2 linked regions of the Lonchura striata genome follow. The protein of the gene in region 2 interacts with the protein of the main gene of each other region in a biochemical or structural test. Links are inferred from orthologs where the notes say so. Each region holds a gene or a part of one and is shown on either strand. Other genes may lie near its edges. The genes, in order: POMC and MC4R.

The links.
Region 1: the proteins of MC4R (region 2) and POMC form a complex in vitro, tested with the Homo sapiens proteins (2 studies listed by BioGRID). The link is inferred for Lonchura striata from reciprocal best matches to the Homo sapiens genes MC4R and POMC.

The regions. Positions count from the first base shown.
Region 1 is NC_134605.1:112,533,664-112,549,904, forward strand, and holds POMC (pro-opiomelanocortin), read right to left. Parts: upstream 6,577-16,241; coding exon 6,514-6,576; intron 2,453-6,513; coding exon 1,967-2,452; 3' UTR 1,689-1,966; downstream 1-1,688.
Region 2 is NC_134603.1:97,657,400-97,673,359, reverse strand, and holds MC4R (melanocortin receptor 4), read left to right. Parts: upstream 1-9,195; 5' UTR 9,196-9,422; intron 9,423-9,504; 5' UTR 9,505-9,648; coding exon 9,649-10,644; 3' UTR 10,645-10,780; downstream 10,781-15,960.

The sequences.
Region 1 (16,241 bases), on a different chromosome or scaffold from region 2:
TTGGGATTGGGGATCGGGATCAGAATTGGGATCGGGATCAGGATCAGGATCAGGATCGGAACCAGGGATTGGGATCGTGATTAGAATCGGGAATTTGGATCAGGGTTTGGATCAGGATTAGGATTGGGATCGGGATTGGGGATTGGGATCAGAATCAGGATCAGGAATGGGATCAGGATTGGGATCAGGATTAGGATTGGGATCGGGATTGGGGGGGGATCAGGATTGGAACCAGGATTTGGATCAGGATTGGGATCAGGATCGGGATCGGGATCGGGATCATGATCAGAATCGGGATCGGGATCAGGGTCGGGGTCAGGATCAAGATCAGGATCAAGATCAGGATCAGGGTCAGGATTAGGACCAGGATTGGGATTAGGGATCGGGGTCAGAATCGGGAATGGGATCGGGATCGGGATCAGGATTGGGATTAGGGATCGGTATCTGGATTGGGATTGGGATTGGGGATTTGGATCAGGATCAGGATTGGGGTTGGGATCAGAAGCAGGAACAAAATCATAATTCAGGATCAGGATCAGGATTAGGATCGTGATTGGAAGCAGGATCGGGATCGGGATCATGATCAGAATCAGGATTGGGATCAGGATTGGGATCGGGATCGGGATCAGGATCAGGATCAGGATCAGGATCAGGATCAGGATCAGGATCAGGATCAGGAATGGGATCAGGATTAGGATCGGGATTGGGATTGGGATTGGGATTGGGATTGGGATTGGGATTGGGATCGGGATCAGGATTGGGACCAGGATCCGGATCAGGATCCGGATCAGGATTGGGATTGGGGATCGGGATCAGAATTGGGAATGGGACCAGGATCTGGATCAGGATCAGGATTGGGATCGCGACCAGAACTGGGAATCGGATCAGGATCGGGATCAGGATTGGGGTTGGTGCCCATGGAATTTTGGAGCTCGGAGCATTCCCGGATTTGGGATCGGCTCCGACGGGAGCAGCGGAATTCCAAATCCCCATTCCCAAATCCCATCCTGGTTTTTTTCCCGGGATAACGGGAGGGGCTCCAGAGCTTTTCCAAGGGGATTTGGAGGGATCCTGGAATGGCTGGGATGGGATCCATGGATCTGAAATCCCATCCCATTCCAAGGTTTCCCAGGGGAATTCCAAGAATTCCCAGGGATTCTTCAGGAATTCCCGCCAGGTTGGGAATTCCTTCCCAAATTCCATTTCCTCTTTTCCCCGGGAATTCCCGCCATTCCCAGCCTGGGATTGGATCCATCCCCATCCCAGCTCCTCTCCGGGAAGGAATTTTGGGAATTCCCTGGGAATTCGGGATTCTCTTTTCCATCTCCAAATTCCATAAAAATCCCTCGGGATGAATTCCAGAATCCTGGAATTCCATTGTTGGGATCCATGGATCTTCCATCCCACCCCAATCCCAATCCCACGATCCTGGAATTTCCCAACTTTTCCTTGGCCATTCCCAGAGATTCTCAGGGAATTCCAACCCCAAATTTCCCCAAATGTTGGGAATTCCTTCCCAAAATTCCTCCCTTTTCCCATGGAAATCCATTCCCTGCACCCCGTCCTTGTTTTTCCCGTGGAAAACTTCCCAGAATTCCCAACCTGGGAATTCCAACTCATCCCAAAAATTCACCCTCCAACCCTTTCCCGACCCAAATTCCCGTTTTTTCCCCTTCCCAGCGCTCTCATCCGTAGCTTTTTTTTTTTTTTTTTTTTGGGAATTTTCCATCCCTCCTTTACAATATTTCCAAGAATTCCCAACCGGGATCCGCCCCAATTCCAAGAACTCCCAAACCCGGGAATTCCCGCCCGAGAATCCCGGGATTTTTTATTAGGAAGGATGAAGCGCTAAGGGGACGCTACGGGGGCCGCGAATCCCGGGGGATTTCCCCGGATTTTCCGGGAATTTTTCCCCGTGGGATTTTCCCGGGATTTTTTTTCTGGGATTTTCCCGGGATTTTTCCCATCACTGCCCATCCTTGGCGAAACTCTTCCCGATGGCGTTCTTGAAGAGTGTCACCAACGGCGTCCGGATCCGCTCCGAGCTCATAAATCCGCCGTAACGCTTCTCCTTCCGGGAATCCCACGGGAATTCCGGGAATTCTTCCTCCTCCTCCTCGGATGATTCTCCCCTGCGGAATTCCGGGCGGGAATTCTCCTCCGATTCCTCCTCGGCTCCGTTGGGGTAGACCTTGACGGGTCTCCTCTTGCGCCCGACGGGTTTTCCCCAGCGGAAGTGCTCCATGGAATAGGAGCGCTTCCCGTCCTCGGCCTCGTCGGAAAAGCGGGAAGAGCCGGCAATTCCCGCCGTTTTCCCGGCCAGCTCCTCCCGTTTCCCGGGATGCGAGGCGTCCTGCCAGCTCCAGCGGAAGCGCCGGAGGCCCTCGGAGAGCGGCCGGGATTGGCCCTTCCCGGGAAAAAGCGGCGGCTCCGAGGAAATCCCGGGACAGGCCTGCAAGGGCGACGGCGGGACGGAATTCCCACGTTTTTTTGGGGATTTTTTAGGGATTCAGACCCAAAAAATCCAACAGCAAATCCCCACTCCCAAATCCCGATGTTTTTGGGGGGGTTCGTTCCCAAATTTCCCCGTTTTTTGGGATTTCGTTCCCAAATTTCCCCGTTTTTGGGAAATTTTTGGGATCTCATTCCCAAATCCTGATGTTTTGTGGGATTTCGTTCCCAAATTTCCCCGTTTTTTGGGATTTGATTCCCAAATTTTCCAATTTTTTGGGATTTCATTCCCAAATCCCACAAAGTTTCGGGATTTGATTCCCAAATTTCCCCATTTTTGAGATTTGGTTTAAGCCTGGAATGGCAAAAATGATGGGAATTGCAGGACAGAATTCCCAAATTTTTTGGGGGGATTTTTAGGGATTCAGACCCAAAAAATCCAACAGAAAATCCCCACTCCCAAATCCCGACGTTTTTGGGGGGTTCGTTCCCAAATTTCCCCGTTTTTTGGGATTTGGTTCCCAAATTTTCCAATTTTTTGGGATTTCATTCCCAAATCCCACAAAGTTTCGGGATTTGATTCCCAAATTTTCCTGTTTTTGGGATTTCCTTCCCAAATTTCCCCATTTTTGGAATTTGGTTTAAGCCTGGAATGGCAAAAATGACGGGAATTGTGGGACGGAATTCCCAAATTTTTTTGGGGGATTTTTAGGGATTCAGACCCAAAAAATCCAACAGAAAATCCCCACTCCCAAATCCCGACGTTTTTGGGGGGGTTCGTTCCCAAATTTCCCCGTTTTTTGGGATTTGATTCCCAAATTTCCCCGTTTTTGGGATCTCATTCCCAAATCCCGACGTTTTGTGGGAATTCGTTCCCAAATTTCCCTGTTTTTTGGGATTTCATTCCCAAATTCCCCCATTTTTGGGAAATTTTTGGGATCTCATTCCCAAATCCCGACGTTTTGTGGGATTTCGTTCCCAAATTTTCCTGTTTTTTGGGATTTGATTCCCAAATTTTCCAATTTTTTGGGATTTCATTCCCAAATTCCCCCATTTTTGGGAAATTTTTGGGATCTCATTCCCAAATCCTGACGTTTTATGGGGTTTCGTTCCCAAATTTCCCCATTTTTTGGGATTTGATTCCCAAATTTTCCAGTTTTTTGGGATTTCATTCCCAAATTTCCCCATTTCTGGGAAATTTTTGGGATCTCATTCCCAAATCCTGACGTTTTGTGGGGTTTTGTTCCCAAATTTCCCCATTTTTTTTGGATTTGGTTTAGGCCTGGAATGGCAAAAATGATGGGAATTGCAGGACAGAATTCCCAAATTTTTTGGGGGGATTTTTAGGGATTCAGACCCAAAAAATCCAACAGAAAATCCCCACTCCCAAATCCCGACGTTTTTGGGGAGGTTTGTTCCCAAATTTCCCCGTTTTTTGGGATTTGATTCCCAAATTTCCCCATTTTTGGGATCTCATTCCCAAATCCCGACGTTTTGTGGGAATTCGTTCCCAAATTTCCCCGTTTTTTGGGATTTCATTCCCAAATTCCCCCATTTTTGGGAAATTTTTGGGATCTCATTCCCAAATCCCGACGTTTTTGGGGGGGTTCGTTCCCAAATTTCCCCGTTTTTTGGGATTTGGTTCCCAAATTTTCCAATTTTTTGGGATTTCATTCCCAAATCCCACAAAGTTTCGGGATTTGATTCCCAAATTTTCCTGTTTTTGGGATTTCCTTCCCAAATTTCCCCATTTTTGGAATTTGGTTTAAGCCTGGTATGGCAAAAATGACGGGAATAGTGGGACGGAATTCCCACGTTTTTTTTGGGATTTTTTAGGGATTCAGACCCAAAAAATCCAACAGAAAATCCCCACTCCCAAATCCCGACGTTTTTGGGGGGGTTTGTTCCCAAATTTCCCCATTTTTTGGGATTTGATTCCCAAATTTCCCCATTTTTGGGATCTCATTCCCAAATCCCGACGTTTTGTGGGAATTCGTTCCCAAATTTCCCCGTTTTTTGGGATTTTGTTCCCAAATTCCCCCGTTTTTGGGATCTCATTCCCAAATCCTGACGTTTTGTGGGGTTTCGTTCCCAAATCCCTCAAATTTTTGGGATTTCATTCCCAAATTCCCCCATTTTTTGGGAAATTTTTGGAATCTCATTCCCAAATCCCGACATTTTGTGGGAATTCGTTCCCAAATTTCCCTGTTTTTTGGGATTTGATTCCCAAATTTTCCTATTTTTTGGGATTTCATTCCCAAATCCCACAAAGTTTCGGGATTTGATTCCCAAATTTTCCTGGTTTTGGGATTTCGTTCCCAAATTTCCCCATTTTTTGGGATTTTATCTCAAACCCCTCAATTTTTTAGGAATTTGAGTATTTAATCCCAAAATAATCCCTGGGAAAATTCCCAAATTCCCCCATTTTTCAGATTTGTTTGTGTTTGATTCCCAAAATTTATCATTTTCTGGGATTTGATTCCCAAATTTTCCCCTTTTTTTTTTTTTTTTTTTTGGGATTTGATCCCAAACAACTCTGATTTTTTGGGAATTTGACCCCAAATCCCTCCATTTTTTGGGGATTTCATTCCCAAATTTTCCCATTTTTAAGTAATTTTGGGATCAGATCCCAAAATATTTCCAGGAAAATTCCCAAATTCCCCATTTTTGGGGGATTTTTTGTGTTTGATTCCCAAATTTTCGGATTTTCTGGGATTTGATTCTCAAATCCCTCCATTTATTGCGATTTCGTTCTCAAATTCCTTCATTTTTTGGTATTTTATGAATTTGATTCCCAAATTCTTCCATTTTTTGGGAATTTTGGGATGAGATCCTGAAAAACTTCCAGGGAAATTCCCAAGTTCCCCATTTTCCAGATTTTTTTGTGTTTGATTCCCAAATTTTTGGATTTTCTGGGATTTGATTCCCAAATTTTCCCTTCTTTTTTTTTGGGAATTTGACCCCAAATTCCTCCAATTTTTTTGGGAATTTGACCCCAAATTCCTCCAGTTTTTTTGGGATTTCATCCCAAATCCATCTCCAAATTTTTTGGGATTTCACTCCCCAATCCCTCCAGTTTTTTTGGGAATTGGACCCCAAACCCCTCAGATTTTTGGGATTTAATTCCCCAATCCCTCCAATTTTTTGGGATTTAATTCCCCAATCCCTCCAATTTTTTGGGATTTCATCCCAATCCGTCCAATTTTTTGGGATTTCATTCCCCAATCCCTCCAATTTTTTGGGAATTCATTCCCCAATCCCTCCGATTTTTGGGAATTGGACCCCAAATCCCTCCAATTTTTTGGAATTTCACCCCAAACCCCTCCAAATTTTTTGGGAATTCATTCCCCAATCCCTCCATTTTTTTGGGAATTTGACCCAAACCCCTCAGATTTTTGGGAATTGGACCCCAAACCCCTCCAATTTTTTGGGATTTCATCCCAATCCCTCCAATTTTTGGGATTTCATTCCCCAGTCCCTCCAATATTTTGGGATTTCATCCCAAATCTCTCCATTTTTTTTGGGAATTTGACCCCAAATCCCTCCAATTTTTTGGGAATTCATTCCCCAATCCCTCCAGTTTTTGGGATTTCATCACAAACCCCTCCAATTTTTTGGGAATTCATTCCCCAAACCCCTCAATTTTTTTGGGATTTAATCCCAAACCCCTCCGATTTTTGGGATTTCATTCCCCAATCCCTCCGATTTTTGGGAATTGGACCCAAATCCCCCCGATTTTTTGGGATTTCATCCCCAATCCCTCCAATTTTTTGGGAATTCATTCCCCAAACCCCTCCGATTTTTTGGGATTTCATTCTCCAAATCCCTCCAAATTTTTTGGAATTTGACCCCAAACCCCTCCAATTTTTGGGAATTTGACCCCAAATCCCCCCGATTTTTTGGGATTTCATCCCCAACCCCTTCGATTTTTGGGAATTGGACCCCAACCCCCCCCCGATTTTTTGGGATTTCATCCCAACCCCCCCCGATTTTTTGGGATTCCCCCTTCACCCCGAAACGCCTCCCGCCCCGCGTGGGAATTCCCGGGAATGCCGAAGTTACCGGGACGGCGCCGCCCGGCGCCAGCAGCAGCCCCAGCAGCGGCAGCAGAAGCCGCGGGCCCATCCCGAAATCCCGGAAACCTGCGGAAAAACGGGAATTCGGGCATTTTTTGGGAATTTTTGGGGAATTTTTGGGGAATTTTTTGGGAATTTTTGGGAAAAAAACTGAATTTTTTGGGGATTTTTTTGGGGATTCTTTGGATTTTTTAAGGATTTTTTTCTGATTTTTTTAAGGATTATTTGAGGATTTCTTGGGAATTTTTTCAGGGTTTTTTTTTTTGGGATTTCTCAGGGAAATTTTTGGGGATTTATTGGAATTTTTTGGTGATTTTTGGGGATTTTTTTGGGGATTTTTTTCAAGAATTTTTTGGGGTTTTTTATCGTTTTTTTTTTTTTATTCTTTGGGATTTTTTGGAGGATGTTTTGGGGATTGTTTTGGGAATTTTTGGTGGTTTTTAAGGAATTTTTGGGGGGTTTTGAGGATTTTTTTTGGGGGGGATTTTTAAAAGGATTTTGGGGATTTTTCTAGGGATTTTTGAGGGGTTTTATGGAATTTTTGGGGGGTTTTGGGGATTTTTTAGGGTTTTTTTTAAGATTTTTTTTTTAGGATTTCTTGGGTGATTTTTCCAGATTTTATGGAAATTTTTGGGGATTTTCTTGGGATTTTTTTCAGGATTTTTTTCGGGATTTTTTTGGGAATTTTTGAGTTGTTTTTTTTTTTGTGATTTTTTGGGTGATTTTTAAAGGATTTTTTGGGGTTTTTTTGGGATTTCTTAGGGAATTTTTCAGGGATTTTATTGGATTTTTTAAAATGATTTTTTGAGGATTTTTTTTTCGTTTTTGGGATTTTTTGGAGGATATTTTGGAATTTTTAAAAATAATTTTGGGGATATTTTAGAGAATTTTCATTTTTTTAGGGGGGATTTTTAAAGGATTTTTAAGGGATTTTCGGGATTTTTTTTTAAGGATTTTTGGGGATTTTTTTGGGAAGGACTGGGGAAAAAATCCCGAAAAAATTCTGGGAATCTTTTGGGAGCTCCGTGCCTCAGTTTCCCTCTGGAAAATCCCCCCAAAAATTCCTTTAAAAACCAAAAATCCCCCCCAAAAATCCCCAAAACGGTCCCAAAAATCCCCCAAAATTAAAAATAAAATCCCCACCAAAATCCCCCAAAACCTCCCAGAAAAATCCCCTCAAAAAATCGCCAAAAATTCCCCAAAAATCACTCAAAAAATCCGAAAAATTCCCCAAAAATCCCCCTAAAATAAAAAAATCCCAAAAAATCCCCCCAAAAATCTCCAAAATATTCCCCAAAAATTCCCAAAATAACTCCCCGAAATATCCCCACAAAAATCCCCCAAAATCCCCCAAAAAATCCCCCAAGATCCCCAAAAAAATCCCCCAAATATTCCCCAAAAATCCCCCAAAAATTCCCCAAAAATGGTAAAAAAATCCCACCAAGAATCCCGAAAAATCCCAAAAAATCCCCCAAAAAATCCCAAAAAATCCCCTGAAAAATCCCCCAAATCCACAGAAAAATAAAAAAAATCCCAAAAAATTCCCCAAAAATGGTAAAAAAATCCCACCAAGAATCCCGAAAAATCCCAAAAAATCCCCTGAAAAACCCCCGAAATCCACAGAAAATAAAAAAATACCAAAAAATTCCCCCAAAAATCCCCAAAAATTCCCCAAAAATGGTAAAAAATTCCCACCAAGAATCCCCAAAAATCCCCCCAAGAATCCCCAAAAATCCCCCAAAAAATCCCCAAAAAATCCCAAAAAGTCCCAAAAAATCCCCCACAAAAATCCCCCCAAATCCCCCCAAAAATCCCCCCAAAAATCCCCCAAAAATCCCCCCAAAAAATCCCCCAAAAATTCCCCAAAAATGGTAAAAAATTCCCCCCAAGAATCCCCAAAAATCCCACCAAGAATCCCGAAAAATCCCAAAAAATCCCCCAAAAAATCCCCCAAAAAATCCCCCAAAATCCCCAGAAAATTAAAAAAATCCCAAAAAATCCCCCCAAAAATCCCGAACAAATCCCCAAAATTCCCCAAAAATTCCCCAAAAATGGCAAAAAATTCCCACCAAGAATCCCCCCAAAAATACCCAAAAATCCCCCAAAAAAATCCCCCCAAAATCCTCCCCAAGATCCAAAAAAAATCCCCCAAAAATCCCCCAAAAATCCCCAAAATCCCCAAAAAATCCCCCAAAAAATCCCCCCAAATTTTTAGGATTTATTTTGGTTTTTAAATCGATTTTTGGGGATTTTTAAGGATTTTTTTGGAAATTTTTTGGGCTCTTTACAAGGATTTTTAAAGGATTTTTTTGGGATTTTTTTGGATTTTCCAAGGATATTTTTGGGTTTTTTTTCCGGGATTTTTTTCCGGGATTTTTGGAAATTTTGGGGAAATTTTTTAGGATTTTTTAGAGATTTTTGGGATTTTTTTTTAAAAAGTGTTTTTAAAGGAATTTTGGGGATATTTTGGGAATTTTGGGGGGGGGCGGTTTTGGGGGGATTTTTGAAAGATATTTTGGGGAAATTTCGGGGATTTTTAAATTTTTGGGGGGATTTTTAAAAAGATATTTTGGGGATAATTTTGGGGATAATTTTGGGGATAATTCAGGGCTATTTTGGAGTTATTTTGGGAATATTTTGGGGAAATTTTGGGGATATTTTGGGGATATTTTGGGAATATTTTGGGGATATTTTGGTGCTATTTTGGGGATATTTTGGGGATAATTTGGGGCTATTATTTTGGGGATAATTCGGGGATTTTTTGGGTTAATTCCGGGGTAATTCGGGAATATTTCAGGAATATTTTGGGGCTATTTTGGGATTATTTTGGGGCTATTTCAGGGATATTTTGGGACTATTATTTTGGGGATAATTTGGGGATATTTTTGGGTTAATTCCGGGGTAATTCGGGAATATTTCAGGAATATTTTCGGGCCAGTTTGGGGCTATTTTGGGGTTATTTTGGGAATATTTCAGGAATATTTTGGGGCTAATTCAGGGATATTTTGGGGATATTTTGGGGTTAATTCGAGGATATTTTGGGGGTAATTTGGGGCTATTTTGGGGATATTTGAGGATAATTTGGGGCTAATTTCGGGGCAATTCGGGGCTATTTTGGGTCAATTTTGGGAATATTTTGGGGATAATTTGGGGCTAATTGGGGCGGTTTTGGGAATATTTTGGGGCTAATTGGGGCTAATTGGGGGCTAATTGGGGGCTAATTGGGGCTAATTGGGGCTAATTGGGGCTAATTGGGGCTAAATTGGGGCTAATTGGGGCTAATTGGGGCTAATTGGGGCTAATCGGGGCTAATCGGGGCTAATTTGGGGCTAATTGGGGCTAATTAATTGGGGCTAATTGGGGCTAATTGGGGCTAATTGGGGCTAATCGGGGTAATTGGGGCTAATTAATTGGGGCTAATTGGGGCTAATTGGGGCTAATTGGGCTAATTGGGGGCTAATTTGGGCTAATTGGGGCTAATTGGGGGCTAATTGGGGGCTAATTGGGGCTAATTGGGGCTAATCGGGGCTAATTGGGGCTAATTGGGGCGGTTTTGGGAATATTTTGGGGCTAATTTGGGAATAATTTGGGGCTAATTGGGACTAATTGGGACTAATTGGGGCTAATTGGGGCTAATTGGGGCTAATTTGGGGCTAATTGGGGCAATTTCGGGGCTAATTGGGGCTAATCGGGGCTAATTGGGGCTAATTGGGGTTAATCGGGGCTAATTGGGGCTAATTAATTGGGGCTAATTGGGCCTAATTTGGGGATAATTTGGGCTAATTTGGGGCTAATCGGGGCTAATTGGGGCTAATTGGGGCTAATTGGGGCTAATTGGGACTAATTGGGGCTAATTGGGGCTAATTGGGGCTAATCGGGGCTAATTGGGACTAATTGGGACTAATTGGGGCTAATTGGGGCTAATTGGGGCTAATTTGGGGCTAATTGGGGGCTAATTTGGGCTAATTGGGGCTAATTGGGGCTAATTTGGGGCTAATTGGGGCTAATCGGGGCTAATTGGGGCTAATTGGGGCTAATTCGGGGCTAATTGGGGCTAATTGGGGCTAATTTGGGCTAATTGGGGCTAATTGGGGCTAATTGGGGCTAATTGGGGCTAATCGGGGCTAATTGGGGCTAATTGGGGCTAATTCGGGGCTAATTGGGGCTAATTGGGGCTAATTTGGGCTAATTTGGGGCTAATTGGGGCTAATTTGGGGCTAATTGGGGCTAATTTGGGGCTAATTTGGGCAATTTCGGGGATAATCGGGGCTAATTGGGGCTAATTGGGGCTAATTTGGGCAATTTCGGGGATAATCGGGGCTAATTGGGGCTAATTGGGGCTAATTGGGGCTAATTAATTGGGGCTAATCGGGGCTAATTGGGGCTAATTGGGGCTAATTTGGGGCTAATTGGGGCAATTTCGCGGATAATTGGGGCTAATTGGGGCTAATTGGGGCGGTTTTGGGAATATTTTGGGGCTAATTGGGGCTAATTGGGGCTAATTGGGGCTAATTGGGGCTAATTTGGGCTAATTTGGGGCTAATTTGGGGCTAATTAATTGGGGCTAACTGGGGCTAATTGGGGCTAATTTGGGGCTAATTGGGGCTAATCGGGGCTAATTGGGGCTAATTGGGGCTAATTTGGGGCTAATTGGGGGCTAATTGGGGCTAATTTGGGGCTAATTGGGGGCTAATTGGGGCTAATTGGGGGCTAATTGGGGCTAATTGGGGCTAATTTGGGGCTAATCGGGGCTAATTGGGGCTAAGTGGGGCTAATTGGGGGCTAATTGGGGCTAATTGGGGCTAATTGGGGCTAATTGGGACTAATTGGGGGCTAATTTGGGCTAATTGGGGCTAATTTGGGGCTAATTGGGGCTAATTAATTGGGGCTAATCGGGGCTAATCGGGGCTAATCGGGGCTAATTGGGGCTAATCGGGGCTAATCGGGGCTAATTGGGGCTAATTGGGGCTAATTGGGGCTAATTGGGGCTAATTGGGGATAATTGGGGCTAATTTGGGGCTAATTTGGGCTAATTTGGGGCTAATTTGGGGCTAATTTGGGGCTAATTAATTGGGGCTAATTGGGGCTAATTCGGGGCTAATTTGGGGGCTAATCGGGGCTAATCGGGGCTAATTGGGGCTAATTGGGGCTAATTGGGGCTAATTGGGGGCTAATTGGGGGCTAATTGGGGCTAATCGGGGCTAATTGGGGCTAATTTGGGCTAATTGGGGCTAATTGGGGCTAATTGGGGCTAATTTGGGGCTAATTTGGGCTAATTTGGGCTAATTGGGGCTAATTTGGGGCTAATTGGGGCTAATTGGGGCTAATCGGGGCTAATTGGGGCTAATTGGGAATATTTTGGGGCTAATTGGGGCTAATTGGGGCTAATTGGGGCTAATTGGGGCTAATTAATTGGGGCTAATTGGGGCTAATTGGGGCTAATTGGGGCTAATTTGGGGCTAATTGGGGCTAATTGGGAATATTTTGGGGCTAATTGGGGCTAATTTGGGGCTAATTGGGGCTAATTGGGGCGGTTTTGGGAATATTTTGGGGATAATTCGGGGCTAATTGGGGCTAATTGGGGCTAATCGGGGCTAATCGGGGCTAATTAATCGGGGCTAATTAATGGGGCGCTGTCCTACCTGCCGCCGCTCTCGCGCCGCCGCCGCCGCTCCGGCCGCGCTTTATCCGCGGGGCGGGGGCGGGGCCGGCCCGAAAAAAACGGGAAAAAAACGGGAAAAACGGGAAAAAACCGGGAAAAAAACCGGGAAAAAAACATCGACAAAGGAGCAAAAAAAAACAACCCCGGGATTAGCGGGGAGGGGAGAAAGGGCGCGGGGAAAATACGGGAAAATGGGAATAAAACCGGGAATTCATGGGGAAAATGGGGAAAATGGAAATAAAATGGCAAAAAAAGGGGAAAAATGGGGGAAAATGAAAATAAAACTGGGGAATTCTAGGGGAAAATGCGGAAAAATGAAAATAAAATGGCAAAAAAAGGGGGCAAAACATGGGAAAATGGAAATAAAACTGGGGAATTTTAGGGGAAAATGCAAAAAAAAGGGAAAAATGGGGGAAATAGGGGGATGGAATAAATGGGGGGAAATGGGGAAAAATGAAAATAAAATGGGAAAAAAGGGGGAAAATGGGGGAAAATGGGGGAAATGGAAATAAATTGGGGGAAAATGGGGGAAAATGAAAATAAAATGGGAAAAAAGGGGGGAAAATGAAAATAAAATGGAAAAAAAGGGGAAAATGGGGAAAAATGAAAATAAAATGGCAAAAAAAGGGGGAAAATGGGGGAAATGGGGGGAATGGGAATAAATGGGGGAAATGGGGAAAACTGAAAATAAAATGGGAAAAAAGGGGGAGCATGAAAATAAAATGGGAGAAAATGTGAATAAATGGGAAAAAAATGAAAATAAAATGAGGGAAATGGGGAAAAATGAAAATGAAATGGGAAAAAAGGGGGAACATGGGGGGAAATGAAAATAAAATGGGGAAAATGGGGAAAAATGAAAATAAAATGGAAAAAAGGGGGGAAATGAAAATAAAACGGGGAAAAAGGGGGAAAATGGGGGAAAATGGGGAAAAATGAAAATAAAATGGCAAAAAAGGGGGGAAAATGGGGGAAATAGGGGGATGGAATAAATGGGGGGAAATGGGGAAAAATGAAAATAAAAGGGGAGAAAATGTGAATAAATGGGAAAAAAATGAAAATAAAATGAGGGAAATGGGGAAAAATGAAAATGAAATGGGAAAATGGGAAAAAATGGGGAAAATGGGGGGAAAATGGGAAAAAATGGGGGGAAAATGGGAGAAAATGAAAATAAAATGGGAGAAAATGTGAATAAATGGGGAAAAATGAAACTAAAATGGCAAAAAAAAAGGGGAAAAATGGGGAAATGGGGGAAAAGGAAAATAAAATGGGAAAAAGGGGGGAAAATGGGGAAATGGGAAAAATGAAAATAAAATGGGAAAAAATGGGGAAAATGGGGGGGAAAATGGGAATAAATGGGGGGAAAATGGGAAAAAATGAAAATAAAATGAGGGAAATGGGGGAAATGGGGAAAAATGAAAATAAAATGGGAAAAAAGGGGGGGAAAAGGGAAATAAATGGGGAAATAGGGGGGGGAAAGGAAAATAAAATAAGAAAAAAGGGGGGGAAATGGGGAAAAATGAAAATATAATGGGAAAAATTGAGGAAAAAATGGGGAAAATGGGTAAAAATGGGGGAAATAGGGGGGGAAATGGGAAAAAATGAAAATAAAATGGGAAAAATGTGGGAAAATGAAAATAAAATGGAGAAAAGGGGAAAAATGGGGGAAATGAAAATAAAATGGCAAAAAAAGGGGGAAAATGGAGGAAAATGGGGAAAAAGGAAAATAAAATGGGAAAAAGGGGGGGAAATGGGGGAAATGGGAAAAAAGGAAAAAAAGGGGAAATAGGGGGGAAAATGAAAATAAAATTGGAAAAAAAGGGGGAAAATGGGAAAAATGAAAATATAATGGGAAAAATTGAGGAAAAAATGGGGGAAATGGGTAAAAATGGGGGAAATGGGGGGGGAATGGGAAAAAATGAAAATAAAATGGGAGAAAATGTGAATAAATGGAAAAAATGAAAATAAAATGGGTGAAATAGGGGGAAAATGGGGAAAAAATGGGGAAAATGGGGGAAAATGAAAATAAAATGGGAAAAAATGGGATAAAATGGGGAAAATTCAAAGAAAGGAAAAAATGGGGGAAATGGGGGTGAAATGGGAATAATTGGGGGAAAATGAGCTGAAAATGGGAAAAGATGGGGAAAAATGGGAAAAATGAAAATAAAATGGGGGAAAATGGAAAATGGAAGAAAAATGGAAAAAAAAAGGAAAATGGGGGAAATGGGGAAGAATGGGAAAAAATGGGGATAAAATGGGGAAAAAATGGGAGAAAATGGGGAAAAAATGGGAATAAACTGGGAATAAACTGGAAATAAAAGAGGGAAATGGGAGAAAAATGAGAATAAATGGGGGAATGGAAATAAAGGGGAAAAAATGGGGGGAAACGAGGAGAAAATGGGAATAAATTGGGAAAAAAAAAGAGGAAAAATGAGAGAAATGGGGAAAAGAGGGAGAAAATGGGACAAAATAGGAATAATTGGGAAATAAATGAGGGAAAATGGAAATAAATGGGAATAAAATGGGGGAAAAATGGAAATAAAATGGGAGAAATGAGAAAAAAATGGGGGGAAATGGGGAGAAATGGGAAAAATTGAAATAAATGGGGGGGAAATGGGAATAAAATGGGAATAAATGAGAAAAAAATGGAAATAAATAGAGTGAAATGGGGAGAAAATGGAAATAAATGGGGAAAAACAGGACAAAATGGGAATAAATGGGAAAAATGGGGAAAGAATCAGTAAAAACGTGAATAAATGAGGGAAAAATAGTAAAAATGGGAATAAAATGGGGGGAAAAACTGGGAAAAAATGGGAAAAATTTGGAATAAATGGGAAAAATGGGAATAATCAGGGAAAAGGGAAAAATAGGGGAAAATAAAGAAAAAAAATCAGATTTTTGTGTCACTCCTGCGTCATTTCTGATCTTCCATTGAAAAGGGGAAAATGGAAAAATGGGAATAAATGGGAATAAATGGGGAAAGAATCAGGAAAAATGGGAATAAATGAGGGGGAAAACCAGGAAAAATGGGAAATAAATGGGAATAAATAGGGAAAAAAAGGGAATGGGGAAAAATGGGGAAAAAATTGGAATAAATAGGGAAATGGGGAAAAAATGAGGGAAATTGGGAAACATGGGAATAAATGGGAATAAATGGGGGGAAATCAGGGAAAATGGGAATAAATGGGAAAAAATGGGGAAAGAATCAGGAAAAGTGGGAAAAAAATGGGAATAAATAGGGGAAAAATGGGAATTAAATGGGATAAAAATGGGAATAAAATGGGGGGGAAAACTGGAAAAAAATGGGAAAAAATTTGGAATAAATGGAAAAAATGGGAATAATCAGGGAAAAGGGAAAAATAGGGGAAAATAAAGAAAAAAAACGAGATTTTTGAGTGGCTCCTGCGTCATTGGCGACCTTTAGGTGTGAAAATCTCGGCCCGGCTCAAATCCCACAAATCCCCCGGGAGGGGAAATGGGAAAAGAACAAAAAAATGGGAAAAGGGGAAAAATAACCCAAAAATAGGGGAAAAATAACAAGGAAAAAAAAAAGAGAGAAATGGGGGAAAATAACCAAAAAAAGGGAAAAAAATAACAAAAAAAAAGGAGAAATGGGGGAAAATAACAAAAAAAAAGGGAAAAAAATAACAAGGGGAAAAATGTGGGGGGAAAATAACAAAAAAAAAGGAAATTGGGAAAAATAACCAAAAAATGGGGGAAATGGGGAAAATAACAAAAAAAAAAAAGGAAAAAATGGGCAAAAATAGCAAAAGAAAGAGAAAATCTGGGGAAAAGTGACAGAAAAAAGGGAAAACAGGAAAAAATACCAAAAAAGGGGAAAAATTGGAAAAAATAACCAAAAAGAGGGGGGGGAAATGGGAAAAAATAACCAAAAAAAGGGAAAAAATAAAAAGGGGGGGAAATGGGATAAAAAATAACAAAAAAAAAAATAAAAAAGGAAAATGGGGGAAAATAGCAAAAAAAAAGTAGAAAATGGGAAAAAATTACAAAAAGGAAAAATCTGGGGGAAAATAATGAAAAAGAAAAGGAAAATG
Region 2 (15,960 bases):
GTTGATTGTATCTGCTATTGACCTCTGCAGGCTTGGCTTGGAAACTCTATGTAGGATAGAAAATGTCACATGATGCAGCCAATAAAAACTGCACAAAACTAAGCCTCTCATGAAGCTTGACCTTTCCTTTAAATGGCTTGTCTTTCAAAATTTTGATTGAAGGTGATCTCTAGTCCCAGAAAATGCTCTGAATTAATAAGAATAGTGAAAACTGCACCACATTTATTATCACCACATTGATTATTTTGTGAGACTGGGTGCATTATATGTTTGTCATTTAGGTCAAGATTATAGAAGCCAGAGAAAGATTACTTTTCCATGCAATACTCAGTCCACACTGAAACAACAACTGTTCTTTGAGGAATAGATTGTATTTTTCTTGGTGTTTATGACAGTGGGGTTTCATGTCATTTGATTCCATCAAATAAATATATCAAACACTTGAGATGAAATCCGGTGATTAAGAGGGATGGACTGCTAATTCTGCAGACAGCAACTAAAATCTTTAGAGATCACATAGCTTTAAACAAACTTTCATTCATGCCACTGATTTTTTAAATGCATTAGAAAGGTTTCAACTTGCTATTTTCATTAATTTTATGTCACTGTGCATGGAAAATTGTCTTTGGGGAGGTAGTGCAAGATGTAAAGAAGAGAATATATCTTTTATATGAGAATTCACCTGAAATAAAGCATAACTGGCCCTTAAATTGCTTGTTTGTTTAATACAAAGTACTTAAGCACTGTCATCCAGCAAGCAGTGAGAGCACATTGCGGTATCTGATAGTTAAAAGAGACCTGTAATGCTTCATCCTTGAATCTCTTTTCTATCATGTAAATTAATTGAAATGCAATTATATGTTTCCCATGACTCTGAGACAGAAAACTACTTTCTTCTGTCTCAGAGTGATTTTAATCACTTTAATGCAGAAAATCACTTGCTTGAATTTTAGTGACCTTGCTAACTATCATTTGTGTAGATTTTATACCCGGAGAGGTAGGAAAAAGGGGGATAAACCTCACAAATAGCTTGTTATACTTCATTGCAGAAAATCCTTTTCATACTGATAGCTCACCATATAGTGAGATGCTTATAAGAGCTATTAAAAAAAATAAATCTTTTGGGACTTAGCAGTGTTTACACTTCCCAAGAGATGAAAGTCGCACATATATCTACACTCACGAAACTTGATGGGGAAGGTTGTGCTCTTTCCTTCAACAGCTTCTCAGCTGAAGTTAGGTCTGATTCTCTTCTCTGTCTGCTTTTCATTGCTTCTCAGAACCTTTCTGGGTTTCACAGGGGATCTCAGCTGCTCTACCAGCTATAAGAATGTCACCTTATAATCAGAAGTAAACATTGGTACTCCATTTTGCTGGAGAGTTGTCATATGGCTCTGTTTAAAGCAGTGTTGCAACCTTCTCATTCTTTATACTTCTGGCCATGATGTGGCTTAACTGAATTAGTCTGTCACTAAGCATGTGATAAATCATATAGATTTAGTAGCACAAATAAGCTAGTTCAGTCCTCCGTTCTACTATTCTGTCTCAACAAGCATTTTTCAAAATTATAAGGAAAACCTCCTAAAAGGCAGAGAAAAAGGATGCTTGTTTGATGTCTTTCAAAGAAGCTCATAATTTCCTTTATTAAAGTAAGGAAGATGAAACAGAATTTTTTAGGAAAACACACAATATGATTTAATTGTACTTTGTGTATCTGAGTTTGAAGACAGAAAAAGACACTGTAGTGTCTGTTCCTAAAATAACTTGCTAAAGAAGTTTTATTTAATATTATCAGCAATAATTGCTGGAAATTGTTGCCTTTCTCAGAAAGAAATCTGAATCAGTCAGTTCTTCCCAGGATGTAGCTATCTGCCATGTAAATTTTGAGTAAGCTAATTCAAGCTTCCCAGGGTGATGAAAAAACCTTTTGCTTGCTTGGCCATTATTTACACATTTCTTAATTTTTCTGTGATTTTCTTTATGTGATTAATTTTTTAACATTTTCAGGGCTTTTTTCTGTTTAATTTTTTTTTCAGTTATCTGCAGGAATTCACAGTACCCTAAGGTGCTGCATGCTGGCATATTGATATATATATATATATATATATGTTCAGGCTAACAGTCCTTGGAGGGATTTTACCTTTATTTTCTGCTTTCCTTTACTGGAAAGGAAATGTAACATGCATTTAAATTGGCTTTGTTTCCCTTGCATCCCATGTTTACAATTCTCTACCTCATTCTTGCAGACGTGAGGAGGAAATCTCATCTCTGTTGCTCCCACAGTGCCACAGTAAGAGTCACTCTGGAGTAGGGGACTAACTGAATAAATATGCCCAAAAACCATTTGACATCTCAGTTTACACAACTGCAGAGATTCCCTTCCTCACTGAAAAATTTTACATATGGCATGTGAGGATCCTTTGGTACTTTGTTTTCCCCTGTTTAACTCTCAAAGGTTTCAAACAACACTCTAGTCTCTCAATTAAACAGTTAGCTTCAACAAAATCTCTTTACTGTACAAAGAGAGATAAAATATTACTAATACATTAAAGAATTTCAGTCCAGCTTGAGAACTCTGGAGCTTTTCTTGGTCACCTTTAAAAGGGGATATACCTTCACCCACAGTTCTGTAGACCGCTTCTGAGCCCTTATCAATCTTTAACTCATTTTTGGGATTTAGACTACCAGTAGTCCCATCTTGTCTGTTGAAGCAAAAGCATCTCCGAGTCCAGGTTGATTTCTCAACCATCAGGGTGATTCAAGTATTAATCTTCTACCATGGCTACTTTCTCTCCCTTCTGTTCTTTTTTCAAACAACCGTAGAGTGTGGAGTTTGGAACAACGTAAAGACACGAGCTACTCAATTTATTACACTGCTCTTATATATACTTTCAACCTTTCATTTTCATGAGAGTCTGTTATGGCAGAAAGTCATCAGCCTCTGTCACAGAAAGCCATAAAATCTGTATGCCATGAGCAGAGAAGAAAATTATTTATAAGGCATATATTTTTCCCCTAAAAAGCGAAGAAAGGAGACTCCTCCTGAGGTTATGAAAAATAACCCTTCAGTGAGGGCTAGAAGTTCTCAGCAATGACCCAGATCAATTCTGCTATTCAAAAACAGGAATTGGTTCATGCCCCTGAATTTTAGAAGAAGACTTTTCTACAAGAGTTTTGAAAATAAAATATTTCTGCTTTCCATTGGGTCAGCTTCATTATCAATATAATCTTGTAACTCAGACTTTTTTAAAGTACCAGAGATCTTCAAAGGAGGAACAGCAGTTTTCACAAGATGAAAGGGGGTTTTTTCTCACCATATGCTGATGATTGCTGTAAAGAGGTTATTGGGAAATCAAATCACTGCAGACATTCTGCAACACTTCAAAAGTCTAGACATTTTGTACTTTCCCCTTCTGTGTCCAGTTCTCAGAGAAAACAATGACAATTTTGGATTGTGTGTCAGTGACAATACACTTACCTGAGGGAATTACTCTCAGGGTTGTCCTTTCATCTAGTCTTAATCCTGACACTGCTGCTGCCTGACTCACTCATTGTCACATCACTTGGTGTGTCTGCTTTATATCTTATGTCAGATTATGACTCTGGGATTTCTAGTTGCTTAATGGAACTCCTATGGAGGAAAACAATTCACAAGTAGTTTAAGCACTTCCTGCAGACTCTGTCCAAGACTGCTTCAATATCTCTACTAAGAAACAGAGTGCTTAGAGGAGCTACCAAAATGAATGGAAACCCTAAAAATCCACTGTGCAGATATAAATATGTATATATATGCAAGGTTTTGTGCAGAACATTCAGTGAGGGTTAAAATAAGCTGGTTTTTGGTAACAGAATGTATGTGTGTATGTATGTAAGCCCTTTCAGACATAAACTATGCATCTTGAACAGTGCCTACTTAAGTACACAACTCTTCCTTCCTGTAAAGCCACTAAAGAAATGATTACATGGTATTGTCTGGCATTTCCATTGGAGTAACAACAATCACACTCAGAGGTGAGTAGATTGAAAGAAAGACTCAAGCCAGTTAGTAGCTTTCCATCTCACATAACTTTTGGTTACACTGCCATTCAGAGAACTTTTCTGAGAAACTGAAGTCATTGACATCATACAAAACAGCTGGGTTTTTTTTTCCCACAGCATAATCCTGGGCTTTCTTTAGATGATGATCTTCCAGTTTTTCTGCTGTGGCTCTCTATTTCTTATTCAACTATAATGAGACATGCCATTTTTCATGGTTAGACAGCGGGACTGACTAGGTTGTTTTTCAGCTAGAATGAAATGTTACAGCATTTCTCACACAGATAAAAACTGAGTATCATTATGGTAGAAAAGTCACAATGATAAACTAGAAAAGTGAAGATATTTTTAAACTTCGTCATATAAAATTATCTCATGATCTAAAGTGAGACAAAGAATGGTAGTGCTGAAAATGGCCCTGTCAGGTGCATATAGGAAGTGGAGAAGAGTATTAGCAGTATTACTTCCACTATATGTATGTTCAAAGGTCATGAAGAAAGGAAATGACCAGATTAACAGCTTATTTTTAAAAATCATAAATAATTTAAATAGTTGCTTATTTATATATATATATATAAATCAGTGTTATTGTTTTTTGGTTTGATGAGCTGGATTGATGGAAATATTTATTTTGTACTTAAACCCAGATGCTGCTGTATGTTTTTTTGAGAGATTTTTAGAGAGGGATAGTAACACCGAGGAGATTGTGGAGTCCCTTGGACTAAGTACTTCAGATGAGTCTGAACAGCAAGCACCTAAATCTACAAGCAAGGAAAAGAAAATTGATTATTTGTGAAAGATGGGATGAGGGAGAAAAAACTACAGGGATGTCATTGCTGCATTGACTGCAACTTAATAGTATCCATTATCACAATGCTGGTCACCTAAAATAGCAATGAGATCAGATGTAAACAGGTTAGTGTTTAAAGCCTCTGTGCTTCTCATGCCATTTTAATGGAAAGCATTCAATTTCTATTCATTTTCAAGTAATCACAAATGTATCATAAGGCAGAAAAATCAACATTTATGTGCTTTTAGTCTCCAGACTGATTAAGTGTTTCTCCTTTTCTTTTAACTAAAAGACATGAGGAAAAGAGGCAAGCTACAAAGACTCCTGCTCTCGACACCGAAGTCCCTTGATTTAAAAATTCCTTTCACTTTAAAAGATAAATATTATGAGGTAATCATAATAAAATGCCAGGTGAAAAGATATTAGACCAGTTTCCCACTGACCAACATTTTTTATTTGCATATAGTCCCAAAATACAGTGATCAAAATCCTGAACACTGGGAAGCAATGGAGAATATTTGGGGTTTTTTTTAATTATTCCATTCCTAACAGGGATATTAATAGAGACTGCATCACCTAGAGATTTTCAGATTGTAGTAAGCTGGTGGGTAAATGGTGGACAGACTAAAGAACAGAGATTTGATGTTGTGAGACCAGAAAAAAACTACTGGTCCAAAAATGTGAGCAAACAAGCGTACCCATATTGTTCAGAGGCTAATTTACTGAACTAGAAAGAATCAAAGAAATGCTTCTTCCAAAGACATCTGTGGATAGGAGGTAGAAGTACACTGCATTATTTTCATAATTTTGGTGAGTATCTTGAGTGCTAGGTGGAATTTGCCACTGCTACATAGAGAGATGATGCACACTAAAATCTCATAGAAACTTCCAAAGTTTAATTACCTGGCTCTTTTTCTTTTTTTTTTTAATTTCAAAATCAGCATGCTAAAATATACTGCAGTTTTTACTACAATTATAGACTTGAGTTTTTGAATGCACAGAAAAACTGGATCTGAGGACATGTAATCAAAGTCCTCCATGAACTATGCTTGTTCATGTAAATGCAGCATCACCCTTTGGACAGTACCAGCATAGTCACACAAAGCCAAGGGACTAATTAAATGTTAATAATCTGTTTCTTTGGTTACCCCTTCTACCCAGCTTCCCACAACCACTCTTACAGATGCTGAGGTGCTAAATATTATCACTGTGCTTGAGTAATGTGGCCATGGGATTCAACGGGATCTCACACATTGTGCATTTGAGTAGGAAAGGGCCTGGGTGGACTCCCTCTGTTTTTCTTTTTCTCCCACAGTGGACATGTACAGCCTGCTCATGTCTCTGCCTGTCTTCTTGTATCACTTTTGGGACTGCTCATTGATTTCAGTGAATGCTTTGTTCTGATTTTCAAATTCAACTGCCAGAAGATAATTAATCTTTCGAAAATATTGTGAGGTGGAGATGGCTGTAACCCTGTCTGGAAAGAGGGTGTCAAAGCGTATCTCCAAACAGAGCATAGAACATGGGGGAGTTATATTAAAAGGGGAGGCTCTGCTCAAATCTTTGTTGATGGCTTATTTCTCTTAAGAGCTGGAGCTTATATTAGTATATCACTGTAATCAGTTTCTAGTTTTCTGCAACCATGGTTGGTATTCCAAGGTGCTGAGAAGCTTGCAGGCCATTACTATCGAAAAAATATTGTCACAGCATTAGTTTTTAAAATTTAAGAAATAATTTAGGCAATATCTGTTAGACAATATTCCTTTCATCTTTGAAATAGATAATTGAAATATTAACATGTCTTCAGTCATGAGGGAGCTAGGATACTTTGAACAATTTTAGCATTATGTGGTTTATTTCTTATTAAATGGGAGCCTGAGACATGCATCCATCTTTTTCCATGGAAGAAATTAGATGCACATACATCTTCTCTCATTTTAAAGAAGTGCTCATATAATTTGTTTTGCCTTTTAGTTAGATCAGGCTGATGATGCATCATCTCTTCAGTGCTTCGACTAAGTTGCTAAGCTACCTTAAGTCTGCTGCTTATAAAACCTCATTCCACAAATATGAGTGGAAAGCACCAAAACAATTGGGCCCCAAGAATACAAAGCATAAGCAGAAATTTGGAGGGGAGTGATGATTGTGGGTGGGGAGAAAAGTAGGCTTTTCTTTCCATTTTTATAATCAATATTACATTTTTATGACACATTCAGTGAAAAATCAGACAAGGAATCACCTGGATAGCTTCTGGGTGGAGAGAGCAAATGAAAACATATATAGTGATAAGATTGGAGATAATGTGCAGAGAAAATGAGGAACCAGGAGGGGAATAGACTGACAGATAATTGGAACAAGTGGGGCAGTACTCCTTGGAGGAAGCTTCTCTCTATTCTTGACAGGCTAACCTGATCTAAGTCCACCTAAGTAGGTGAAGAGAGAGATCCCTGAATTGTGGGCATTTCCAGCATGGAGAATATTGTGAAAGAAGGGATGTTGAGTGGCTACTCTCCTGGGATAACTTGAAGATTACACATTTCTAGATTCAAGTGTAGAAAAGAAGGTTATGAGGAGATGCTGTTCTCCCACATCAGTCTTTATATATATTTTTTATAGTTCTTTTCTTTAATGGTTAGGTGTGCATTAGCTGTCTGTATCAGGAATTAGTGAATACCGTATCACTAACAGTGATACTGCCTGAGGATCAGTAACTAAATAAAAAATCCTCTTGAGTTCTTGCTTGCATTATGTCTTGACAGTAAAGCAAATGTCACATTTTCAGGAGCAAACTATTTAATTTCAAGCATTCTGCTCATAAATTATGTAATCCAAACTGATAAATGTGGGATTTCCTGTGCCACAAGTTATTTTGTTGGTCATGGTACTTTATGTTTCAGCTTTATGAAGCAACCTAGCTGAAGAAGGGGCCAGAAAAAAATTGATTGAGGCTTTTCTTCCAATATAGGTCTTCATAACCATAGGTCTGCAGCAATACAAACGTGAAAGTAAAATCACACTTCAACCTGATGTTGAGATGTTAAATACAGATAGTTGTGCTTCTACATGCATTCTGTCATCCTGTACCTCTTTATTAGGTGGTTCACTTTTCAACCAGCTAACACACTGAAGATGAAAATATTTTGAGACATTATAGAAAATAGACTTTTGCATTAGGTGCAGACTCCTCCAAAACCTGACTGGTAGTCAACTGGAAATGCTCTTTCAAACAATTCAATCGCAAATATTACTCTCAGATATGGTGACAGAAATTCCTATGGCATTTAAAATCCATTTGTGTTTTAGGCTTTGCTTAGCATATTTCTTTTTCAAACCTCAGTTGCAATGCTTGAAGATGTAACAGCAAAACAACTTTTGTCCTGTCTCTTCATGTTACTTTGGCATTCTTTTCTTCTTTATTCTCAAGGGTTTTTCCTAACACACTGCACACAAGCAGACTTTCAGCTCATGCCCAGTAAGTCCAGGGATATCCCTGTGCTTCTAGGGCTCCTGGGCCATGTGGACTTCTAGGAGATTTATTGATGCTTTTGTGTCATTGCCACTGTATGAGCTCTATTTCTTACAGGTTCCAACTTTGTCTCCTGCAGATTTCCTTCAACTGTTCTAAATACTGAGATTTCTTTTTCTGCCCAATATCTTAATTCTTGATGATGACAGGGCTTCTGCAATCAACTCCATTATCTTTTTCTTCTCAATAAGATTACTAAGAAGTCTATTACCTGGAAAAAATGACTTTATTTAGGACAGTTTATTATGTCATTTGTGACTTTGAGTCATGGTGGTTTTGGTCTTTATCTTGCCTCCATACATTAAAAATGATAATAATCTTATTAGAGAGTATAATGCAACCTTGCCACACATCTTGGAAATGGACAGCTAAGGCATAGAAAAATAGCAAGGCAAATGGGACCAAGGAGAGAGAACCATGAGGAAATATATATTATTTTTCTTCCCTTTCCTGTTCATATTTTGCTGCACATACAAAGCAGAACAAGTTTGTGCCACAGAAGGAGCAAGAACAAATCTGAATCTGAAAAATAAAATTTATCACTTTAGCTGAAAGACTTCTGTAAGATTGCTAGTACAGTTCTGAAAGTTTTGCTAATTGAAAATCAGTACTGAAATATTATTCTGTGAAGCTAAAGAAGAGAAGCAAATCTCTGGTAGCTTGTCTGCTTTCCTGTAGCTACTGGTAACTCGTGCTGCATCTGAACCCGCTGTGCCGTGCCGTGTGATGTTTCACAGAGGCTCAGAATCAGCAGCCCCTCCACTTTCTGCAGTCCTGAGTCCCATTGGCTGGAAAGAAAAGCAGAGGCGGAGAGTGCCCTGAATATTTTTCTCTTCCACACACGGTGAAACAGGCAGCCAGCATGCACTGCCTGACAGTGAGAGTGGTGCTTACAGTTTGACAATAGTTCCTGCTCCGCAGCAGTCATTTGGGCATTTTATGGTCGCATCTCTTTAATGGAAAGCACCAAAAAAGCCTTGCAGCATTCCAGTGAACTAAAGAGGAACTAACCATGGGAGAATCTGATTAAAACATAGAGACTGTTGGGACTCTGTGACATAGATCACCAAGGTAAATGCAATGACTATTCAGAAACTCTGTCTGTAAGGGTGTAAACCAGTTCTTCTGAGTCTGAAATCTTATTTTTTCACAGTAGTCGAAGTGTTCTGAACTGCTGCCTGCCTCGGTCCTAGCTTCTTTTTTTCTTTTCCAAGCTGAAAAGCCAAAGAAGGTTTTCAAAGGAATGCAAAAGGAACAGAAGTTTTAAAAGCGGGAAGCCGAAAGACATCTCCATAAGATGAATTTCACCCAGCATCGTGGGACACTCCAGCCTCTCCATTTCTGGAACCACAGCTACAGACTGCACGGAGGAGCTAGTGAACGCACTGTGAAGGGCCACTCCTCAGGAGGCTGCTATGAGCAACTTTTTGTGTCCCCTGAAGTGTTTGTGACTCTGGGCATCATCAGCTTGCTGGAGAACATCTTGGTCATTGTGGCGATAGCCAAGAACAAGAACCTCCATTCTCCCATGTACTTCTTCATCTGTAGCTTGGCAGTGGCTGACATGCTAGTGAGTGTATCTAATGGATCAGAAACCATTGTCATCACCCTGCTAAACAACACAGACACAGATGCACAGAGCTTTACCATAAACATTGATAATGTCATCGACTCAGTCATTTGCAGTTCCTTGCTTGCATCAATTTGCAGTCTTCTCTCAATAGCAGTGGACAGGTACTTTACTATCTTTTATGCCCTCCAGTACCATAATATCATGACAGTGAAGCGTGTAGGGGTTATCATCACATGCATCTGGGCTGCTTGCACAGTCTCAGGCATTTTGTTCATCATTTACTCTGACAGCAGTGTTGTCATCATCTGCCTAATCAGCATGTTCTTCACTATGCTCATTCTCATGGCATCCCTCTATGTCCACATGTTTATGATGGCTCGTATGCACATAAAAAAGATTGCTGTTCTTCCAGGGACTGGCCCTGTTCGTCAAGGGGCCAACATGAAAGGGGCCATCACTCTCACTATCCTGATTGGAGTTTTTGTTGTGTGCTGGGCTCCATTTTTCCTACACCTGATTTTCTACATCTCCTGCCCCTACAACCCTTACTGTGTGTGCTTCATGTCCCACTTTAATTTCTACCTCATCCTCATCATGTGCAATTCCATCATTGATCCACTTATCTATGCATTCCGTAGTCAGGAGCTTAGGAAAACATTCAAGGAGATTATATGCTGTTGTAGCCTGAGAGGGTTTTGTGATTTCCCTGGCAAATACTAAACTGAATGGATGGATAAGTTACTGTGTACACAACTGGCAGCATAGATTTCCTAGCCTTCGGATCTTCTTTCTCAGCAGAATTTGGTTTAAATCTTTAAGAGTGACCATCTGTTTCTGTGTTCCCCCCCCCACCCCCCCACCCCCCCCGCCGATTCTTGTGTTCCATTCATGTGGAATTCATATTTCTGTATAATATTCATGATGTCTATAGTTTGTAATTTATTTGGCTGGAAAGATCAGTAGCACTTCATACCAGTTTGTAAATAAGCAAATAAATGTAATGATGAATATAAAATAGCAACAAACATGAGCAGCTATATATTCCAACTGCTGACAAAATAAATATCTTGCCTGACTTATAGTACATACTGGCTAATACTGTTTCTTATTCTGTTGAAGTAATTATAGCTATCCACTACATTATACTCAGTTAATAATAGAGCATGTGCTTCTACATTAGTAGATTAAAGGTTCTCTGGAATTAGAAAGCAGATTTTTCAGAAAGGCTAGTGAAAGCAACAAGTTCTATTTATACATTTTGAACTCTTCTTGTTTTGCTTCACAGCAGAAATTCTACTTTTTCTTTCTTACTTTCCCTGCCCACAAGAAGAATTTTCAAACACTTGCTACACAGCCAGTTGAATGCTTGGGCTTTGGGCTGGGTTTTTTTCCAAGATGATTGCTGTATGTCTGAGAGTACCTTTTTGCAAAATTTAAATTGCTCCCTGGAGCATCAAATAGTCCTGGATATATCTACTAGACTGGCATCCAGGCAGACTAGCTCCCTCCATTCGGCCATGAAACAGGTACAATATTAACTTTGACAGTGCCAGCAGCAGTGCAAATATTCACTGAGAGATTTACCTGGTGAAATAGAGAGGGAAGTTCAATTGGAACATTCAGTCATTTTTCTGAGGTGCTGTGGAGAATAAGGACTCTGTGCTCCAGATGGAAATGCATCCTTGTTGAAAACAAACTGCCCTCTGTTGTGAAGTGCAATGGTAGCAGATGGGATCCACTGCCAGGATCTTTACACAGGAGTCAAGGCAAGTGTTAATTTGGTCTGGGCACCTCAGCCCATACTGTGGAACATATGGGCTTTGGAGGGGCAGTGCTGTCACATGGAATGAGTGCCTGCTGATGAGTCTGGTTACACACGCTCAGCATCTGGCAGCTGCTTGAATTCAATTCACCTTTGCAGGCATCTACTTGATGTGTTCTCAGTTTCACCCTAAAATTCCATGCTCTTCACAGGTTGTTTTAAGGACCTCGGGTTCCTGGTATTAGTCCTTTTGGAGGTGTTTAAAGCATAAATGTGACTACACAAGATTCCGTGAAGATGTAATTTAGTATCTTGATATTTTGATGATATCAGCTTCTATATAAGGAGAAAAAAGAGTAATTTATCTATTTCCAGAAAGTATAAAACACAGTGAAACTTGTAGAGGATCTGGAGAGTTCTGATTTAAGAGCTCAAAATTAAAAGTAAAAAACAACTCAGGTTTTAATGCTGAATGCTTGCTTTTTGCCAAGATGAACAGTGAATGAATGAAATACGGGATGGCCAATCCTATTTATTTTCTTGTAAACAGATTGTTCTCTTCAGCTGCTATTTTTTTCATCAAATTAAAACATAAAATGAAAAGCTATTCAAAGAGAGCAATGATTGCTATCTCAGATTCTCCAGACAGAAGCTGATATTTCATCGTGGATAACTTTTCAGGATATCGCAGAACTACAACATTTGCCCCTCTGTTAAAGTGCATGAAAGACTTAGGGTGAGTCTTAGTGTTTTTAACTTTAACTATTTATAGGAAGAGCAAGAAAATCATTTGCCTTTGTGCATTGAAGTCCCTTGGTAGACCAACAGCACCAACATCAGGTCTCCTACAACCTACTCTTGTGCTTGGGCCAATCCATGGACCTTGCTGCTTGCAACACCACTATTGATATTTCTCAGCTTTAACAAATGATATTTCCACATCAGTCGTAGTGTGAAGGGTATTGAATTATATCTACTACATTAATTCTACTATTTTATTCTGGAAGAAACTGTAAATATTTCAATAATACCTGGTTCCACTCGATATAGAATAAAAAATGCCAAAGGAGGAGAATTAAAGCCCAAGCAGAGAAAGAAAAAATGCATTTAAATTAATATTCTATCCAAAAATCCAGTGAGCTTTGCTAAAGGCCTTTCCTTCTCCCACAAGACACAATACAAAAATACTCTGGTTGTAATGAAAGAAAATATGGATGCCAGTTTAAACAAGGCATAAATCCTACTTGATCTTTGCTTTGCCTCATTTTCTATAGCTGTTTTAGGACTGTAAATTATGACACTGGGGGCTTCAGCTTTTCCTTTTGTAGTCCATAGCTGCAGAGAGGGCCCCAATGAAAGTGACCAAAGAGCAAAATACTACCTTAGGTGCTCTGAACATTACCTTGAAAGTCTCTATTTCTCCCCTTCATATGTACAAGGAGCAGATACTTCTGAATTCTGAAGAGGCTGTATTTAAAAAAAACCCAGTGTGTATCTCTTTTATGCTTATTTGGACTATGACTAGTCAAGACAGTTGTGACACCATTAGGCTCTAAATTTCATTTATAAATATAATTTTTAAACTATCTTATTCCAGAGCTTTAGCAGCTCTGAGACTGTTTAGCAGCACTTCTGTCTTTATTTCATAACAGTATATGTACATAGATATTTTTAAATGGAGTTTCTAATTAAAGATGATTTTTTCATTTCATGGTATCATTTTGGAGAGTGCAATTCATTGAAATTGTTGGCACATCTGCTACATAGATTATTTTCCTATTCCAAAATAGTCTGTTTCTTCTGAGTAGCTGAATCAGTTTGCCAGAACCATAGGAATTATTCTTGCAAAAGATAAATTAATTAATCTAGTTTATTGGAGATTGGGAGGAGTGGAGGATTATTTTCCACAGTCAATTTTCTGGAGCTTTGTTCTTCTATTTGAAAATACTCCAGGAAAATGTGATTTCTTTATTTAAATTACTAGGACTGTAATTGCTTTAGCACTTAGCATTTTGGTCATGTTAGGTAACTGTAGTGGGCTGACCCTGGCTGGATGCCAGGCACCCACCAAAACTGCTCTCTCATTCTCCTCTGCAGCTGGACAGGGGAGAAAAAATATAATTAAGGATTCATGAGTTAAGAACCAGGAGAGATCACTCATGAATGATCTGTTCATGAACAAAACAGACTCAAATTAGAGATATTAATTGAATTTGTTACAATCAAAGTCAGAGCAGGATAATGACAAGTAAAATATAACCTTAAAAACTTCTTCCCTCCACCCCTCCCTTTCTCACTCCCTCCCAGCTCTACCTCCTCCTCCCAGTGCCACAGGGAGACAGGGAATGGGGTTTATGGTAAGTTCATCACACATTGTTCCTTCCACTTCTCAAGGAGAGGAGTCCTTCCCCTGCTGCACTGTGGGGTCCCTCCCACAGGAGGCAGCTCTCCATGAACTTCTCCAATGTGAGTCCGTCCCACGGGCAACAGTTCTTCACAAACTGCTCCAGCGTGGGTCACTATTCCACAGGGAGAAGTCCTTCAGGCACATCCTGCTCCAGCATGGGTCCCCCAAGGGACCACAAGTGCTACCAAGAGACCTGCTCCAGTGTGGGCTCCTCTCCACAGATCTGCAGGTCCCAGCAGGAGCCTGCTCCAGCATGGGTTTCCCACAGGTTCAGAGCCCTCTTTTGGGCATCCCCCTGCTCTGGTGTGGGTCTCTCCCATGGGCTGCAGGTGGATCTTTGCACTCCCATGGACCTCCATGGGCTGTAAGGAAATCTGAGATCCAGTGCCTGGAGCACCTCCTGCTCCTCCTTCTCCACTGACCTTGGTGTTTGCAGAGCTGTTCATCACACATGTTCTCACTTCTGTCTTCTCTGGCCACAATTAGATCCGACAGTAACTTTTCTTCTTCTTGAATATGTTATCTCAGAGGAGTTGCCATCATTTTTAACTAGCTCAGCCTTGGACAGCAGCAGATCTGTCCTGGAGGCAGCTGGCATTGGCTCTGCCAGACCTGGAAGAAGTTTCTGGCAGCTTCTACAGAAGCAGTTTATGCAAACCCAATACAGCAGCAATGGCATGTTCTTCTGCAGCAAGCCTTTTCCTGAGCTAGACATTGATGGTAGTGTTCTCCACATTTTCCTAACAACTTAAATTTTACACAAAAAGTTTTTGAAGGAAATGTCTATCTTCTTCAAGAAGGACTTTTCTTTAGCTTCGAAGCAGTTTTAGAACAAAGCAAAAGACTTCGAAAAGCACTTAGAGGATGTAGTTAGTCTCAGTACAGCAGATTTTGAATGATGACCCAAAATGTCTTTTACATCTGAAATATGATATTATCTGGAAGCAAGGATAAATGCTTTAATAGAGTCACATTATTAAAAATGCAGCAATGCCTTCAGTTATGCCTTTAAGAGATGTGTAGTGCACATGTTATTGATGTAATCATAAAATTACTCTTTTGCTCTTAAACTGATCTTGTTATACAGTGTGTTTATTGGGGCCTCCTTCATCCTCAAACCTAATTCTGGTGAAGAACTTTGATGTTATTTTTAACACACTGTATTGCTTATAGGCTTGCATAAGAATTGCAGTCCCAATCCCACTGGAAGGAACTCTACAAAAATGTACCCTTGGGCATGAAATCTTCATTGTTCATCCAGAAATTGCCTTAGAATTCAAGTTAATATTCTGATCCCTTTCATCATAGCTCAAGTATCATAAAGTTTTCCTTTTGGATAAAATACTTCTCTCACAAAAAAAAAAAAAAAAAATACTTCATGTGTCATAGGAGCCCTTGACTACTACTACAGATGCTCATTGTCATAAAAGCTAGGTTATGAATTGACCCTTCTTGTCCTTTTTCCCTTTTTCCCCCAATGGTTCTCTTTTCCTGGATGTTTTTCCATTTTTTTGCTCACTTTGTGCATTTACAAAGAAATTTTCAAATCACCCCTTCAAGTTTTTAATGTAAAAGTATTAATCTGTTCTGCTGTTACTGGTTTTTCTCCTTGCAAATATTGTTAATTTGTTTCAGTTATTAGCCTTCATGCTTGGTCTATTTCTGGATTTGTGTATTTCCATACTGCCATCAGATTTTTCCAAGTCATACCCTGCCTGTACGGTGGGGCTGACTTTGCTCAACAGCAATACCTCACCCATTTGCTTGCTCATGCCCCATGAGTGGGATGAGGGCAGAAAACAGGAAGAACAGGAAGGAATAAGAAATCTCATGGGTCTGGATGAAAACAGGATTATCATTTACTAAT